3 linked regions of the Drosophila melanogaster genome follow. The protein of the gene in region 3 purifies or fractionates together with the protein of the main gene of each other region. This does not show direct contact. Each region holds a gene or a part of one and is shown on either strand. Other genes may lie near its edges.

Evidence for each region. The genes of interacting proteins can lie anywhere in the genome.
Region 1: the proteins of Slmap (region 3) and Cka purify together in Drosophila melanogaster (affinity purification with western blotting, with the first as the bait; one study listed by BioGRID). This does not show direct contact.
Region 2: the proteins of Slmap (region 3) and Fgop2 purify together in Drosophila melanogaster (affinity purification with western blotting; 3 studies listed by BioGRID, with this or other methods). This does not show direct contact.

What each region holds. Positions count from the first base shown.
Region 1 is NT_033779.5:8,029,127-8,033,767, forward strand, and holds the start of Cka (connector of kinase to AP-1), read left to right. Parts: upstream 1-1,594; 5' UTR 1,595-1,713; exon of another isoform or gene 1,714-2,449; intron 2,450-2,933; 5' UTR 2,934-3,131; coding exon 3,132-3,515; intron 3,516-4,641. Other genes in the region: baf (barrier to autointegration factor), read left to right, coding at 482-607, 690-836.
Region 2 is NT_033779.5:6,942,631-6,946,872, reverse strand, and holds Fgop2 (fibroblast growth factor receptor 1 oncogene partner 2), read left to right. Parts: upstream 1-1,583; 5' UTR 1,584-1,739; intron 1,740-1,803; 5' UTR 1,804-1,876; coding exon 1,877-2,824; 3' UTR 2,825-3,695; downstream 3,696-4,242. Other genes in the region: ihog (interference hedgehog), read left to right, coding at 1-1,120.
Region 3 is NT_033779.5:22,577,511-22,585,113, forward strand, and holds the start of Slmap (sarcolemma associated protein), read left to right. Parts: upstream 1-1,561; 5' UTR 1,562-1,742; intron 1,743-2,239; exon of another isoform or gene 2,240-2,310; 5' UTR 2,311-2,330; coding exon 2,331-3,623; intron 3,624-6,611; coding exon 6,612-7,172; intron 7,173-7,231; coding exon 7,232-7,603.

The DNA of each region.
Region 1 (4,641 bases), about 15 Mb from region 3:
CTTTAATGCACTAACATTATAACAAATTTCAAATTTATAGAAAACTTTAAGTATTCAAAATCTAAAACGGTCATGTAAAATACCATACATCAAACCATGTAAGCATACATCTTACATGTAAAATATTGCTGGCATTTGACCTAAGTAGATTAAGTAGATTACAAAAATATGTAATCCGCAATTTCAAAGAAACATTTTTGAGTGCATCTTATAAAACTCTATTTTTTGCCAATGCTATGTAAAAGAATAATTAAACTTTGTTAATTGTTGGGTGCGCAAATGAGTAAAGCCAGAATTACGTGGCCTATTACATTGCCTAATTTTGTTTAGTATATCTAGATGTGTTGTTGCATTTTCGAAAATATCACTTGCTGCCACACTGGCTGTGCGTCATTTTCAGAAACGCCGCGAATATTTTGCCATTGAAATCTAGCTAAGCATTGGAATTTCGCAACGTGCAGCAGCAAAGCAAACTACAAACATGTCGGGCACATCGCAGAAACACAGGAACTTCGTTGCGGAGCCAATGGGCAACAAGTCGGTGACGGAACTGGCCGGAATTGGGGAAACCCTCGGTGGACGCTTGAAGGACGCTGGATTCGATATGGTGCGTGTGTAAATACGATGACGCCATGTGCGCAAATAAACAATGCCAGTCAAGTGCTAACGATCATTTCCATTCGTTTTAGGCCTACACCGTTTTGGGACAGTATCTGGTGCTGAAAAAGGACGAGGAGCTGTTCAAGGACTGGATGAAGGAGGTGTGCCACGCCAGCTCCAAACAGGCATCCGATTGCTACAACTGTCTCAACGATTGGTGCGAGGAGTTCTTGTAAGAGGTGGACACACAAGCCATCCGAGTAATTCGATCAAAAGGAATCTGCTAAAGGCATCGGCCAATCATTTTTATTCGCAGTCAACGAAAGTGGCCCAATGCTAGCTAAGCATTTGCCGTGTTCACTGTTAGTATGTATAGCTGTAGGGTGTAATTTAATGTCTAATCCGAATAAATGTACAGTCATGGAAACGATCCTGCATTTGGATCTCTGTTCTGCGAAAAGTACAGTAGGTGTAAAACATTTGTTGCTGGCCGGCGAAGCAGCCTAATGCAGATTTTTATTAATTTGATTAGGGGACAACAATAAGCAACACTATAGAAGGCAGATCGGTTGGCGACTATATCTTCTCTATGTTTTCGATTGTTGGCGAGTAGGAGTCTCTGACTCGCTGAAATAAGCCTCTGTCTTTTTGATGTTTCTTTATCAGCGGGCTGATGTCGCCTAATTTTGAAATCTATTTCTTTTTGTTTTTCGGAAATGATCTTTTATAATGATGGACTTAGAACCTTTTAAATCCCAATCGCTGTTTTGTTTGGGGATTATGTGTAAGCGGTTAATATATATTTTATAATGAAACCCCTTTTGTCAAAATTAATTGTCCTCGAGTAATTAATTAGTACCGAGTATTTGATTATAAATACAACTTTTTTTAAATAAAAATATATATTTTTAAAAACTTATTTTTAAAGTGAGTGGTATTAAATAGGATTTCTTTTCCCTGAAGTGGTATCATATGGTATTTATTTTTGGTCCCGTGGTATTTTTTATCGTTATCGGCGCGGTCACGCTGCTAAGAATTACATTACGCGTGAATACCAATGAAAATTAAGAGAGAAATTGCAAAACACAGCCAAGCGGTGCAATAAATCGCAAAGTAAGAGGCGCAAAACGCGCAAATACCGTTTGCGCGGTTAAAAAATGCAAAAACACCAAACGATAGATTAAACAAAGTGAAATTAACTCGGCTTTGGCATATGCGAACACCAGTGTGCCAGTGTGTGTGTGTTTTTCTTTGTATATAGACTCGCAGAGCGAGACGGCCATACACGACGGCAGACGGGACGGTGCAGGTGCGCGAGTGCGAGCGGGAAAAAGGCTGTGCGGTCACTGCTACTCTGTGTGTTATTTCAGAGTTACAGGCCAAACATTCTGATGTGCGGCCGAATCAAATCGACTTTTTGTGTGCATCGCCCCAGCGTTCGTCTTAATTAATTAGTGATTGCAAGCGGGTGCAATTATGCACAAAATTACGGACTAATACAACTGCCCGCTTCGCGCTCTCTCCATCTCCCTTCCAAATAGTCGTTTGCTCTTCGCACACAAAAGTGTAAACCCTGTGAAAGGTAGCAACAACGTTTCCTTGGAAAAAGCTGTAAATAGTAAACAAAATTGTCAAGTTAACGAGCCAAAGTTATTAAATAAGGTTCGAGTACGTTGGCATCGGCTGCCCAGGCAGCAAAGAAAAACAAAGACGCAGTTCAAGATTCAGCTGGACACTTAGAAGAGTTTAAGAATTGAAGCACAAAAAAACGAAGAGAAACAAGAACCCCACCAAAAACCCCGCCGTGCGTTTGTATGTGTGTGTGCCATTCAAATTTCCCTGCAGCTGGGTGAGTGTGCGTGTGTGTGTGTGTGTCAGTTTAATTTTCCTACCAATAATCGCCTTTCCAAGACGTGATTACCAGCCGATCCACCGCTTAAATTGATAAACGTTTTAACTCTTGCGTTACATCAGCTGTTTTACGGCTTTTTGTGCTATAAGTTACGCTTTTCCCGTAAGCCGTTGGCAACACTAGAACGCAAAAGAGAGAATCGCGAGTACCGTAAAGAGGAAGAGAGAGAGATAGAGAGTGTGAGCGTGTGAGAGAGCGGGGAATGTGGGGGCGGTTCCGGTGCGAGAAAACGTAGTGTAGTACATAAAGAGAGTGCGAACGAGAGGGAGGCAGCCAGCGAGTGTCCTGCGACTGCTCCCCCCTTTACCCTCGTCGCCCTTCTATTCGGAAAATTCAATGACCTCATTTGTTTCATGTGCCGAACTTTGCTTTTCTTTCCCAACCTAAAAACGCAAAAAAAAAAAAACGTAACACCAAACAGGATATAGCGTAGGACCAGTGAACAAACAAGTCCGAGAGAGCGACAAACAAAGGACCGTGCACTGGGCACCTGAAGGCAGACAGCTGGCAACGAATCAGGAGAGGATCAGGAGAGCAGGATCAGCGGGCACAAGGATCACCGGAGCAGGCAAAGGAAACACCTGGCACACAGCACAGCCACTGAGAGCGACGTGAACCAATGGGCACCAATTCGGGAGCCACCGCTGGCATAAACAACAAGCCGGTTGGCGGTGCAACAGGAGCCGGCGTCCTTGTAGGCGGCGGTGTGGGCGGTGCCAATTCCTCGATCGGCGGTGTCCTGTCGAACAGCCTGGGCGGTGGCGGCAGCGGCGGTCTGAGCATCAGCGGCCTCAACGCTGGTGGACAGAACGCCAATGTGGGCGGAATGGGCAACGTTGGCGGCGACGACGGCGGAAACGGGATGGTGGGCGGCGGTGTAAATAACCAGCAGGCCACAACGCCCCAATACACAATACCGGGCATCTTGCACTTCATCCAGCACGAGTGGTCGCGCTTCGAGCTGGAGCGATCACAGTGGGACGTGGACAGGGCCGAATTGCAGGTGAGTGATCCTTAAATACTGAATTGCTAATAGCTCCTCTTTAATATTCGATTAATCTCGTACTTTGAGATAGGTGAATCAGAAAATCAGCTTAAGATCTTAACAATGTCCTTATTATTAGTTTGAACATTGATTTAGTTCTCATCCTCCACTATTTTATTCACTATTGATTAAGTAGGTACTGGACTCACGGACTACAGTAAACTTTATAGCGTGAACTTTGTGCAGATAGTGACAGTATAGTGCTTAGTATAAAAGAACCAATGAAACTGCAAATTGTTTGTCCTAGAAAGAATACTATGCAACCAAAAGCAAGGCAATTTGGCAAGGCCCAGGGAGTGCTTAAAAGGTCCTTGCTTATCGACAGCGGTGGCTCACTTTCCATTTCAATGATTTTCCGAGGCGCTAATGCATGAACATGCAAGGAAAACGGCCAGGAGGAGCCACCACACCGCCTTGCCTCCGCCATGTCCGCATGCAAGCGAATCGAGTTGAGCAATTGCCGTCATCGAGTGTTTATGCTCTGTTTGTCGCAGACGAATGGCCAAAAAGCCTGAAAGCCCCCAAAAAATGTAAAATGAGTGTAACCGCGGGTTGGATAACATTATCGTAATTTCGAAGGAGATTACTCCACCTCCAACCTGCGCCACCCTGCGCCTCCATGGCCATCGTCAATGTCAATGTCGACCCACGCTCTATCGCTTTCACCTGCCAAGTGGCCAGATAACGAGCGGTATCGATAACGAGGCACAGTCCGTTACGCTCTGAATGCAACGTGACATTCAAATCCGTCTCTTCCCCTGCTTTGCATCATCATAATGTGGAAAAGTGGCCACAAAAAAAAAGGAACCAAGTTGACAACGCAAATTTGTCGCCGCGATTTATGAACCTGTTCGCCTTGTTTGGCGTTTTTGGCCAAAATAAATCTGGTTCGGGTGGGCAGCAGAGGCAGAGGCGACGCCATCCGAGATGGCTCTGTTTCAGCAGTCGTAGCATCCGTTCCCTGCCCGGCCGCCTGGATCTATTTATATACTTCCATATGCACATCGCAAATCTCTTTGTGTGTCAGTGCCGACTGCTGTGAATGCAGCAACGTCCTTGTCGCAACGAATCTCAGTTTTGCCGG
Region 2 (4,242 bases), about 16 Mb from region 3:
CAACGATAATATACCGTATGGAAAACCGAAGTGGAACTCCGAGCTGGGCAAGAGCTTCACGGCTTCGGTGACGGACCTGAAGCCTCAGCACACCTATCGTTTCCGCATCCTAGCCGTTTACTCCAACAATGACAATAAGGAAAGTAATACCTCGGCGAAATTTTACCTGCAGCCAGGTGCAGCACTTGATCCGATGCCGGTGCCAGAGCTTCTGGAGATCGAGGAATACTCTGAAACCGCTGTGGTGCTGCACTGGAGTCTAGCCAGCGATGCGGATGAACACCTGATCACTGGCTACTACGCCTACTATCGACCCTCGTCCTCGGCAGGGGAATATTTCAAGGCAACCATTGAAGGAGCCCATGCTAGAAGCTTTAAAATAGCACCCCTCGAGACGGCCACCATGTACGAGTTCAAGTTGCAGTCCTTCAGTGCCGCCTCTGCATCCGAATTTAGTGCCCTTAAGCAGGGGCGCACCCAACGTCCCAAAACCAGCACCACAGAGGAGCCAACACTGCAAATGGGCGACCGCGATACAACAACTCCCAGTCATAACGAGACATTCAATATGAGTCCCATGCTGACGGGAACAATCGGCGGCGGGGCAGTGCTCATTCTGCTTCTGATTAGCACCTGTTTCTGTGTTTGCCGGCGTAGGAATTCCAGAAGCCGGGGAAACAATCCAAACAAGCCACGGATGGCGGAGCTGAGAGATGACTTTGTGCCGCTGGGCAACTGCTCGCCCACCAAGCAGCGCCAGCGAACACGACACATCCACATAACCTTGAATCCACTCGCCCAGCAGCAGCAGCAGGCGCTGGAGGAGAAGAATGACACAGACCAGGATGCGCCCTATTATCAGCGGCCGTCGAGCTATGACTACGATCCCACGCTGCGCAGGATGTCCTCCTCCTCGCTGCGTCGCTCACAACGCACGCTGGAACGTGCTGGCGGCAGCAATGGCTCCAACAACGGCAACAACAACAATCTAAATCAATCCGCAGAGGCGGGTTCCATCGAAAATCCCGGCAAGCCGGGTCGTGTACTCATGAAACGCCCCCGTCTGTCCAGTCGCTCCGAGAACCTCTCCTCCGGCAGCCTCAACAGCGTTGGCGTGTAATCGCAATCTCGTGATCTTTAGTCTGTGCATCCCTACGCCCGATGTACCATGCTATTCCTCTACCTCTGTTTTATCTACCACTTTGAATGACAAAACCTTTGCTGTTTGTACTTAAATAGGTACTTAAATAGACATAACTAGATTTATGTATGCATGATCGTTTAAGAACATAGCATTATGTCCATTCTACGCTAAGTCTTCCATTTTTCGCGATAAGATCAAAATCTGTACTGATAGCTTCTTAATGACCTATACAAAAATGACAATAAAGCTTGTAGCTTCACCTTTTAACCTTAAAAGAGTTTTTTAACATAAACATAAAGGATTTAGCCAAAAAAATGACATCTCAAGCTAAAAGTTAAAAAACAAAATTATAATTTAAATCTTTGGTATATTTGCGGTATATCAAGTGTTGAAACAGTATTTTTTCGCATTCAATGAGTGGCGTTAGGGATTTGTGCAACATCCGATGGCGTTTGGGATTTAATAAGCTGTCAGCCAATAATTGGGTCGTCGTCAAAATTTCTATTAAAATCGTTTCTATTCCTACATATTTTGGCCGGAAAATCAAATGAAGCTGTTACGCTAGGGACGAAGCTGCACCTTACCCGCACCGAACGTAAGACACTGCTCGTAGGCCCCAGAAAGTGCACAAATTTAAGCGGTTCCCTTTGTTTTCGCAGTGCCAGCAGCAGAGGGCCTGGCCCCCGAAAACAATACAAATCCAAAAATCGCAACTGGACTGAATTGGGCAGGATGTCGAACCTATCCGTGGGCCAGATTATAATGGATGCGCAGCGCATGGCCAGTCGGGTGAAGGACCTGGACGCCCTGGGCACGGCGCTGCTCGAGGAGGCGGAGAACAACAATCGGCTGGTGGAGAGCCTTCGCCAGTATCAGGACGACATTGAATCACTCAACCGCATTTCGAACAACAAGACCAACGCGGACATGGTGAATCGCATTCAGCAGCAAAACATCAACAGCTCGGAGATACTCAAAGAGAATCGCGAGCTAAAGATCTTCATTGAGGACTACGAGCGTGCCATGGAGCTGATGATGCAAAAGTATCGCGAGCACACCGTCTCCAAGGTCCTGGATAGCAAGTTTAGCTTTAAGGAGCTGTACAACGAACGCATGTGGCAGGTGATCCGGGAGCAGCGCGAGAAGATCAACGAAATGGCAGCAGTGATGCAGCTAGCTGCAAGTGTAGATGACGGTGTCGTGCAGCGAGAGCTGCAGACCATATCCCAGCTGCGTCTGGAGAACGAAACGCTGCGCGAGCTGCTGCAAATCTCCAAGCAGTACGGCTCCTCGCAGCGACCGATTCGTGAGAGCGACCACCTGCTGGAGGAGAAGGCTGTGCAAACGGACAGTACGGCGGACGACTCCGCCGACGATCTGTCCATATCGGGCGCCTCGGTGGAAAACATGAACAACAACTCGGTTATCCAGATGTACAGCAGTCCGGAGCAACCGGCTAAAGTCGCCGGCACCACGAACTCATTTAACACTGCACCAGTGCATAGTCAAAGTGAAACACAAGCACCAAGTGTGACATTGGAGACGGCGCCGCCGGGGGAAGAGCCGCTGGCGAATGATAACAATAACGGACCTGCAGTCAACACAACCAGTGCACCGCCGCCAGCGACGACGTCTAACGAATCTGTCGAGGATCAGGCGACAGTAGCGCCCGCAACATGATAGGTGCTGCTGTGCAACGTTGTTGATTCGTTTGGTCTTCATTTGAATCGTATTTACTCACCCACTCACAAAACAGGCCGCGCACGAAGAGGGCCCACATAACCTGCATTAGCTCTTAGCGATTGATAATCTCTAAGTAATTTATACATAATACGAATTTCAACATATTGTCCATACGCATTGAGAACAATGAAGTTTATTATTTAAAACGAGGTAAACACACTCACACCCACACAAATGTAATGTACAATGTACCCTGTCGATTTTATGGTTTGCTAAATAAATTCCAATACAAATCGGGGAATAACCAAAGGAATGAGCATATTTAATTTAACATACAAATGTATTTCAGTAGTGTATTTAAATAAGATGTAACTTTGCTTTAGATTGCTACTCCGTAAGCTAACTAATTCTTAAGTTATTTCCCAAAAGATGTTACGAGTAGAATCCCATCTATTATGCGCCCCTCCCATGAATTTGAATATTTTTGTTAGAAGGCTTTTTAAATTTGGCCATTCTAAATCCCAGCCAAACAGAGAAGCGGTTAAATAATTCATTGGATATGACTCATTGCTTATCGAGTAAGGCTGATCAGAACTTGATATACACACATACTTGTGTGGAGTTTAAATATGAATAAAGTATAGCCACTAAAATTAACATTTGCCACAATGGTTATCAATGGTTATCGAGCAGAAGATTTATGATATAGTCATGTTAATTTTCAAAAAGTCAACTTATTACACAATGAACCAAGTTGAACAGAATCTGCCATGAGAAAAAAAAACAGCAGTAATAACTATAATTTTAGAAGCTTAAGATTCCAAAGGCAAAATATTGGGGTTTAAAAAATTTTAAATAATTTCATTATTGTATTGTTTAAGTTTAATTTGGTTATTAATCAATATGGAAAATTAGGAAAACCAATTTTTTGAATAGATATTATTGAAGTAATTATTATTATTATTAGTTACAGTGTTTTTTTTCTTTAATTCTATCAAATACATTTTTGTAATTTTGATAAATATGGAACCTGAAGTGTAAAAGTAATATTATATGGATACCCGTAAAGATTTATGGCTGAAACTTTCAATTGGCTTGGACTTGAATATTTTTGAATAATTTTCGAATCGCTCTCATCGATTCTCTGCGCCAAAATATCGGTTCTCTTGAGGAAAACACTTTTCTCGCACGACTGGTAGGTAGTTGAAGCTTTCAGAAATAATTTAAATTTAGTTTCTCGTCGATTTTCAACGCGTTCGCAGCCGAAAAAAAAGTGCCAAGGAACTGCGCCCGGTTCGCATGGCAGCCATCTATATAAGTATTTCGAGTGCTCGGGCAATCGACGGTTATATTAAAGCTATATAAATATATAGGCACATACGTGCTTGGCCTTTGTACATGAATGTGAATCGGGT
Region 3 (7,603 bases):
TATTCTAGATCAGGATCAATAGCCGAGTCTATCTGGCCTCTCTCCGTATGAACGTCGAGATCCCAGGAATTTTAAAAAGCTAGAACACAGAAAAAGACGCAGCGCAAGTTGGTTGACCCATGTTGCCACGCACACAAACCTGCCAGCCCCACTCTAACGCCCTAAAACCTCCCAAAAATGCCGCGCAAAACACACATTTTTAAACCTTTTTTCGATATTTTTTTCATAATTCTATTAGTCGCTAAAATTTATATCGATATGCCAAAAACTTTTTACACGCCTACTCTAACGACCAAAAGCCGTCAACCCGGTCACGCCCACAATTTTGAACAATTTGTAAACTTTAACCGTTGCATGCTCTAAAGGTTAAAGTATTGCCTTCAAATCCTCGAAAATGAATATTTTATTCGATATTTACGGCAATAACCAACCCTTTGAGAGTGTTCAGTCAAAGACACTACAATAATTCTTTATTATTCTAGAGACTTTGGTTCAGTAGAACAGTTGCGATAGCAACCTTTGTAATCAAAAATCGTTTCAGCAGGTAAAACGCGCCATTCCAACTGGATTTTCTATACATATATATTTTATTTTCTATAACCTATTTCTATTGTTTCAAACTATATGGGCGTTCATCAATTACTGTGCGGATTAAGTTTGCAATGTTTTCAGAAAAATAAGTTGTTTCGTCGAAATCCGAATCCGCGCAAGTCTGAGCCAATGTAGTAGCGTAGAGCACTTGTTTTCGATTCGTCAACGTTTCATTATTTTGTCAATAAATGACAGAATTGACTGCTGTTGCCTTTGTGGCAATTCACTGACTGTTAAATTAATATGTATCCTCATTACGTGGCAAGACAAGTTAGTATTATTCGCACTTGTTTGGTGTCTTGCCCCACTTAATACATTTGTCTGTCTTGCCATTAGCCGATTAGCTTAGCAAGATCTTTCCCTGCAAATGGTGATGGGTAAAACAGAAAAATCTAACATCGATGTCCGAAAATTTCGATGTTTCCGATTTTTTTTTAAATATCTATGTAGCGCTATCTCCGATGTTTCTTCCAGCTCTATTTTGTAGTTTGCGAGATCACAGCCTTCAGTCAGACAGACCGGACCTGATCGAATAGTGTTTATGATCAGGAGTACACTATACTTTAAGGTTCGGAAACACATTTTTATGCCGACTACAAACATACCCTTAACCTTTCTAGCATACGACATTGCTCTAAAACATTTTAAAATTCCGAAATCTCCTTTCTTATTATAACAATTTTAGAAAATTATTTGTTTCTTTTTATTGGAAATGTAATTGCAGAACATTTGTATGCCGACTACAAACATACTCTTAACCTTTCTAGCATACGACATTGCTCTAAAACATTTTAAAATTCTTAAATCTTATTTCTTATAAAAATTTTAGAAAATTATTGTTTGTATTTATTGGAAATGAAATTGCAGAATGGAATGGTTCTATCGTTGCATGTCAACATAGAAACTGGTATATGGTATATAAACTGGTATATTGTATATTATTATATACAATAATGCTTAGCGCTTTTTTCATCGTTCCGTGTTCATCACCAGTTGATTGTCGCTATTTTGACGGAAATATTTTAAGTATGCACACAAATTTACCGCGAAACCAGGTGTTTTTGTACAACAATTGTTCAAAGTTAAAGAAAACTAAAAAACACGGGTAGAAGGTTGCAACAATTAATACAGGAAAATTACAAAATTCCAAGGTAAGCCAAGCGTGCATTGTAAAATAAAGGTAAAAACGTTGCGCAATATCAAACATTTATATTATTGCGAATTTAATGTTCTTGAACTTAAGCGGTCCTCCCCGTACCATATAATTTATTTTTAAATCAAAAAAGTAAACAATTTCCAACCGTTCCAAACATTTTTAATGCCTGGTTTAAGTTGTCGTAATTAATCGGCACATCCTTAACTCGAAAATTGCTTAATTCATAAGAATGACCAACTAATGGCATAGTTTTTTGTTTACAATAATTCTTGAAAACATTGCTATTGAACGTACATATTTTTGTATCAAATGCAAATTCATTCTGTATGTATGTATGTATGTATGTATGCATTTACATATGTGTGTATATCTTATGTGGTCGGAAACCTTTTCAAATTTTCATCGGGAAAAGACAAATTTTATAGTTACATTAAATTAAAGCAGGCCTTTAAAATTTGGATTCATTGTCAATGTTTCGGCTAGTCGGATTTGTCAAACAGCAGCCACTCGTGTATTACTAATTACTAACTTGTTAATCCGCTTTTGTTCTCGTATCCCCAAAGGTTTGTTTGGATGTAAAGTAATGGTCTTGGTGTGCAATGAGTGGTTAAAAAATAATGTTGATGAAGACCAGACGTCAAGTTCATTATCGCCGACGCCAGCATCAGGAGCAGTCGGATCAACGGCATTAAACAGAACTGGCACAACCGACACGGCCACGGAATTACCTCAGACGACCAGATATCCATCCGGGGAAGAACCTGCTGTGAAGCCAGAGGAGGCGCAATACGCTTTAAACATGGAAACTGAAAAAAATTTGGAGCAGGACAATTTCTTTCATATAATGGACATAAAAGAAGATATGGCTGATAGTAACAACGAGGCGTCCACGAAGAACCAGGAAAATAATAATATGGAACTTTGTGATTCCAACACAGTATGTATTGACCGACGTCCGGCTGAAGTTTCCCAGCATGCTATGAATATGGCCATGAACTCTGTGCTGAATGCAAATAACACCGGGGTTGGAGTTCGAGTAACTACTGCCTGCAGTCTGTTTAGCCCACTAGGAGTACTAAACAATAGTGCTTTACAAAGGGAGGTGGCATCGGAATGCGGCACTTTACAAGTCTCTTCAGTGCCCCCAACTTCTGGCGTAGATCTAGACATAGGATTGGAGTCTGCCCCAACGCCATGTAAGGGTGCAGCAAAAATCGTACTCCTATGTGAACCAAAGTCGCACAAGTTTGAAACGAGATCTATATTGCTGCAGCCCAACCAGGATTGCAAGGTGGGCCGCCTTATAGCTAAAAGTAAGGCGGGTGAGGGGAACGCTATATTTGACTGTAAAGTATTGTCAAGAAACCATGCGATTTTGTGGTACACTCCAGACGGTAAATTCTGGGTCAAAGACACAAAATCCAGCAACGGTACCTTTATTAACGACAACAAGTTGGGTAGTGATCCAGCGGAACTACATTATGGCGATATTGTGAAGTTCGGCGTTGAGGTAATTGAGAATTCACGTCAGGAGGTACACGGGTGTATCCTGGCCCGTGTCGCCCTCTTTCTACCCAATGGACAAGAGGCCATTTCAGTTGAGGCAGAGCAGATGATGTTGACTGTGCCTAACCGAATCAGCTTTGATGAAGTGCAGCGCCTAAGCTCGTTCCTCCAAGAGGCTGCACAAAGGGAAAAATCTCTGAAAGCTAAATTAAGCAGCTTGCAAGGCGTCCTTGATAACACCAGAAAGAACTCTGCGATGTGTTGGCAAAGCATGATCACTGAAGACCAATTGCTTCACAAGATAAATATTCTGGAAAAGAAACTGCAAATGATGGAAAAGAACATTCCAGAGAATGCACTGCGAAACGAGGTAAGTCCCATTAGCGACCGATTAAAAAATTAAGCCTTTGTTTATTTTTTACAATTTTATCCTGTGATCCTGGACAACTATGAAAGCAAGAATACTGGTATTAAGCATGAAACTAAGCAAAACCTCAAAAACCTTTCACACGAACAATTAAAAAAGTTTGTTCATAAATACGTACACACCTTTCCGTTAGCCTGTATAACGGAATCTCTAAAAAACCATTTTTGCACACTTGTGTTTTCCTTTTAATTTAAAGATTTCAATATGCAAATTTTTAATAAATCTGTTTCCCAAACCGGACAAGATAAAATAAATTGAACCAAATCTTATAATGAATTGTCTTAACTACAAACATAATCAAAATGTTTAATGCACAAAAATTAAGCAAATCTGAATCTAAGCAATTTAATTCGGTCCCATCAAATTATATCTAGTGGTTGTGCCTTTAAAACAAAGCAGTATATAATGGCTTTAGAGTTTCATTTTGTTATTCATTCATTGATTCCTTCATTTTTATTATTTGAATACGCATTAATTATAATCATTTGTATAAGGTGTATTGTATTTTAATTGTGAGCAAATGGTATTTTGGTGCCACCGATTGGTGCCAGTGGAGTAATTTGTTATACATATTTTGTAAACGTTACTTTTTATTTGTTTCTAATTTTTAGGTTAAAGTATATTTTCTCTTTTTTTCTCAGTTTTTATATAACAGAAAAAATAAATCCTTAAACAAATTGTGCTTTGCTGACCCAATCCTCACATTTGATACGAACAGATCATTGCTATTATTTTTGTACAAAATAAGGGACTCCTATTTGATACCAAAAGCTGTTTCCCACCCCACACTTTCTAATTTACAGAATTAAAAGAGTTATATTCTAATGTATATACAGTTTGTCAAGAAACTGTTTACACACTGTGAAATAAGTTGAATTTTTGACTTTAAAGCTAAAAATAAAGGGTTTTTTGCTTAATTAAACGCAATTTTTTTATAAAATATAATTAAACAATATTTATTTTACTTATAAATCAAAAAACAAATTAAAAATATTAAATATACAAGAAAATAAACAACAAATTCCAAGTTTACACACTTTTGAGACTGTCAAGAAACTCTTTACACATTTTGTTTTCCTACTTTGTTTTGTTCTTTTTCTTAGAACGAACTCGATTTTTCCGTTATTTTTGGCTTTGCATTGCTTTTTACAACGCTTCTATTGAAATTTTGTTGACTTTGCTTGTGAAATTTTGCTGATCAAACGTGCTTAAAGCGAATTATTAAATTTAATAAAATGCCTGGAAAGAGATTAACTTTTAAAGTTACCCAATTAATAAACTATAACCACCAGTTGGGAAAATCTTTTCCAGAATTAGTATAAATGTTTCCTGTATCCCGTAAGACCGTCTACAATGTTTTAAAAGGCTCGGAAAAAGAGGGCAGGCTTGAACCTAAGAGTGGTGGTGGGCGGAAAATTAAAATTAAAAAGCGTGTAGACCGCTTTATTATGCGAATAGTGATTGCGAACCCCCGAATCTCGGTCAGATCACTTGCTCTGGATATCAGGCAAGAATGTCACCTAGCTGTGTCACACGAAACTGTGCTCCAAGTCATCCTACGCCATAGGTACTCTTCAAGAGTTGCAAGGAAAAACCCTTTGCTGTCAGATGCCAATATTGAAAAGCGTCATTTATTCGCTGTGAGCATGATAGATCATGCGGAAGAGTACTGGGATGACGTCATATTTGGTGACGAAACAAAAATGATGCTCTTTTATAACGACGGGCCAAGCAGAGTATGGCGCAAACCGTTGAGTGCGCTAGAAAAACAAAATATCATTCCAACGATAAAATTTGGAAAAATGTCACTGATGGTGTGGGGCTGTATCACCAGCCGTGGAGTGGGAAAACTAGCCTTAATTGAGAGCACAATAAATGCCGTGCAATATCTAGAAATGTTAGAAAACAAATTTGAAGGCCAGTGTAGAAAAAATTAGTCTGGTTAGCAACAACAAGCCAAATTTTAAGTTTTACCAAGACATGATCAGAAACATAAAGAGTGCAATGTACGCACCTGGCGCCTTAATAACTGTGGTAAAGTGATCGATACGCCCCCTCAGAGTCCTGATCTGAACCCCATTGAAAATTTGTGGACCTACTTAAAGAAGAAGGTGGCAAAAAGGGACCTAAAACACAACAACAGCTTATGACTGTAATAGTCGAAGAGTGTGAAAAGATCCCGTTTGAATATGACCTGCAAAAACTTGTCCAATCCATGAAAAAAAGGCTTCAACTTGTAGCTAAAGCCAATGGGGAACATACTACATACCAAAACTTTTAAAATTTTAATAAAATAATTAAAAAATTTAGGATTAAACTTCGATTTAGTGTTTTGTGTAAAGAGTTTCTTGACAGTCTCAAAAGTGTGTAAACTTGGAATTTGTTGTTTATTTTCTTGTATATTTAATATTTTTAATTTGTTTTTTGATTTATAAGTAAAATAAATATTGTTTAATAATATTTTATAAAAAAATTGCGTTTAATTAAGCAAAAAACCCTTTATTTTTAGCTTTAAAGTCAAAAAGTCAACTTATTTTACAGTGTGTAAACAGTTTCTTGACAAACTGTACATACATGTGCTCTAGGGCTCTAAAACAAAGAACTCATACAGAACGGTAAAAATACAGATAGGCAAGCAAATTGAGACCATACGAATATGCGATTTTAAACTTGTGCGTGAAATAAGACAAAACAACAAAAAGGTACCGAATACAGGAAATATTCTATAGCTCGAAAATTCAACCTTTTAGCTTTTTGAAAGAAATTAATATACCCTTATAAATGGGTTTAAAAAACTCGAAGAGGACCTTTTTCCGACTTAATGGTCAGTAGCTCCTTTGAATATTAAAATTTTGTCTGCAAAAAATTTTAAGTATATTTTGGTAAAATTTGATTTTTTTTTTTTAATATTTCTCTCTTTGTCTTCAATAGATTGTAAAGCTTCTTGAGGACAAAACAACGTACCAGTTGACTGCCAAAGAGGCCCTGCGGAAGGTCTACCAGGAACGCTGCGATGCTATGCAAATGCTCTCTAAGATGGAGATGGCCTACGCCACTTCTGAAAACGAGTGCGGCATACTTCGCGCTCAAGTTCTAACACTAAAGCAGACGCTGACTGATTTCAATACCCGGTTAGAGGAACTTCAGCAGGAGTACATGGAATTCAAGAAGGAGTCAGTGCGCCAAGAACAAGAGGCTAAAGAGCAAGAATCACGCAGCTTAGAGGTGCTAAATGGAAAGCTGACGACGCAGGAGCTCGAGCTTAAGGAGCTTCGTCTGCAGGTCTCGCGAATCCATCGCGATTTATCTGAGTCTGATACTGAACATTTGAAGGAGCGAATTGTCTTAAAAAACTTAGATACAATAAATCTTGACGATTATGACCACGCTCAAGATAGAGCGCTAAATGAAAGGGATGATAATGAAAGTTCTGACGATGATATTTTGTCTGTGTCACCAGCTAAAAATGTGTTGTCTGAAACGAAAAAAAGGGTAATGCTTATAGCAGTCTTAATGCTATTATATATTAATATATTCCTATTTAATTCTAGAAGCTAAAACTAAGTAATCCCGATTTAGAAGAAGGCAATTATAAATCGAACGTCTTAAGATTGCTAAAGAACTCCGATCTTGGCAAGGGAGAAGAAGGATCTTCAGTGCTTAAAGCTATTTTTAATGGTGACGATGAAGCCTTTGAATGCAAAGTTAAGGAGGAGGAGGATATGGCAAACGATTCAGTTCCAACAGAGTTCGTTAGCAGAAATACATCCGAAATCGTGGATCACTTTAAAAACCATTCTTCAACTACACATACAATTTTAGAGGATTCGGCTGCAACGAAATTGTCAGCCCCTAATGCGGAAAGTAAGGAAAAGCTTGTAGACGTTGAGGAAAATCTTAATATTCCAAATGCATTACCGACG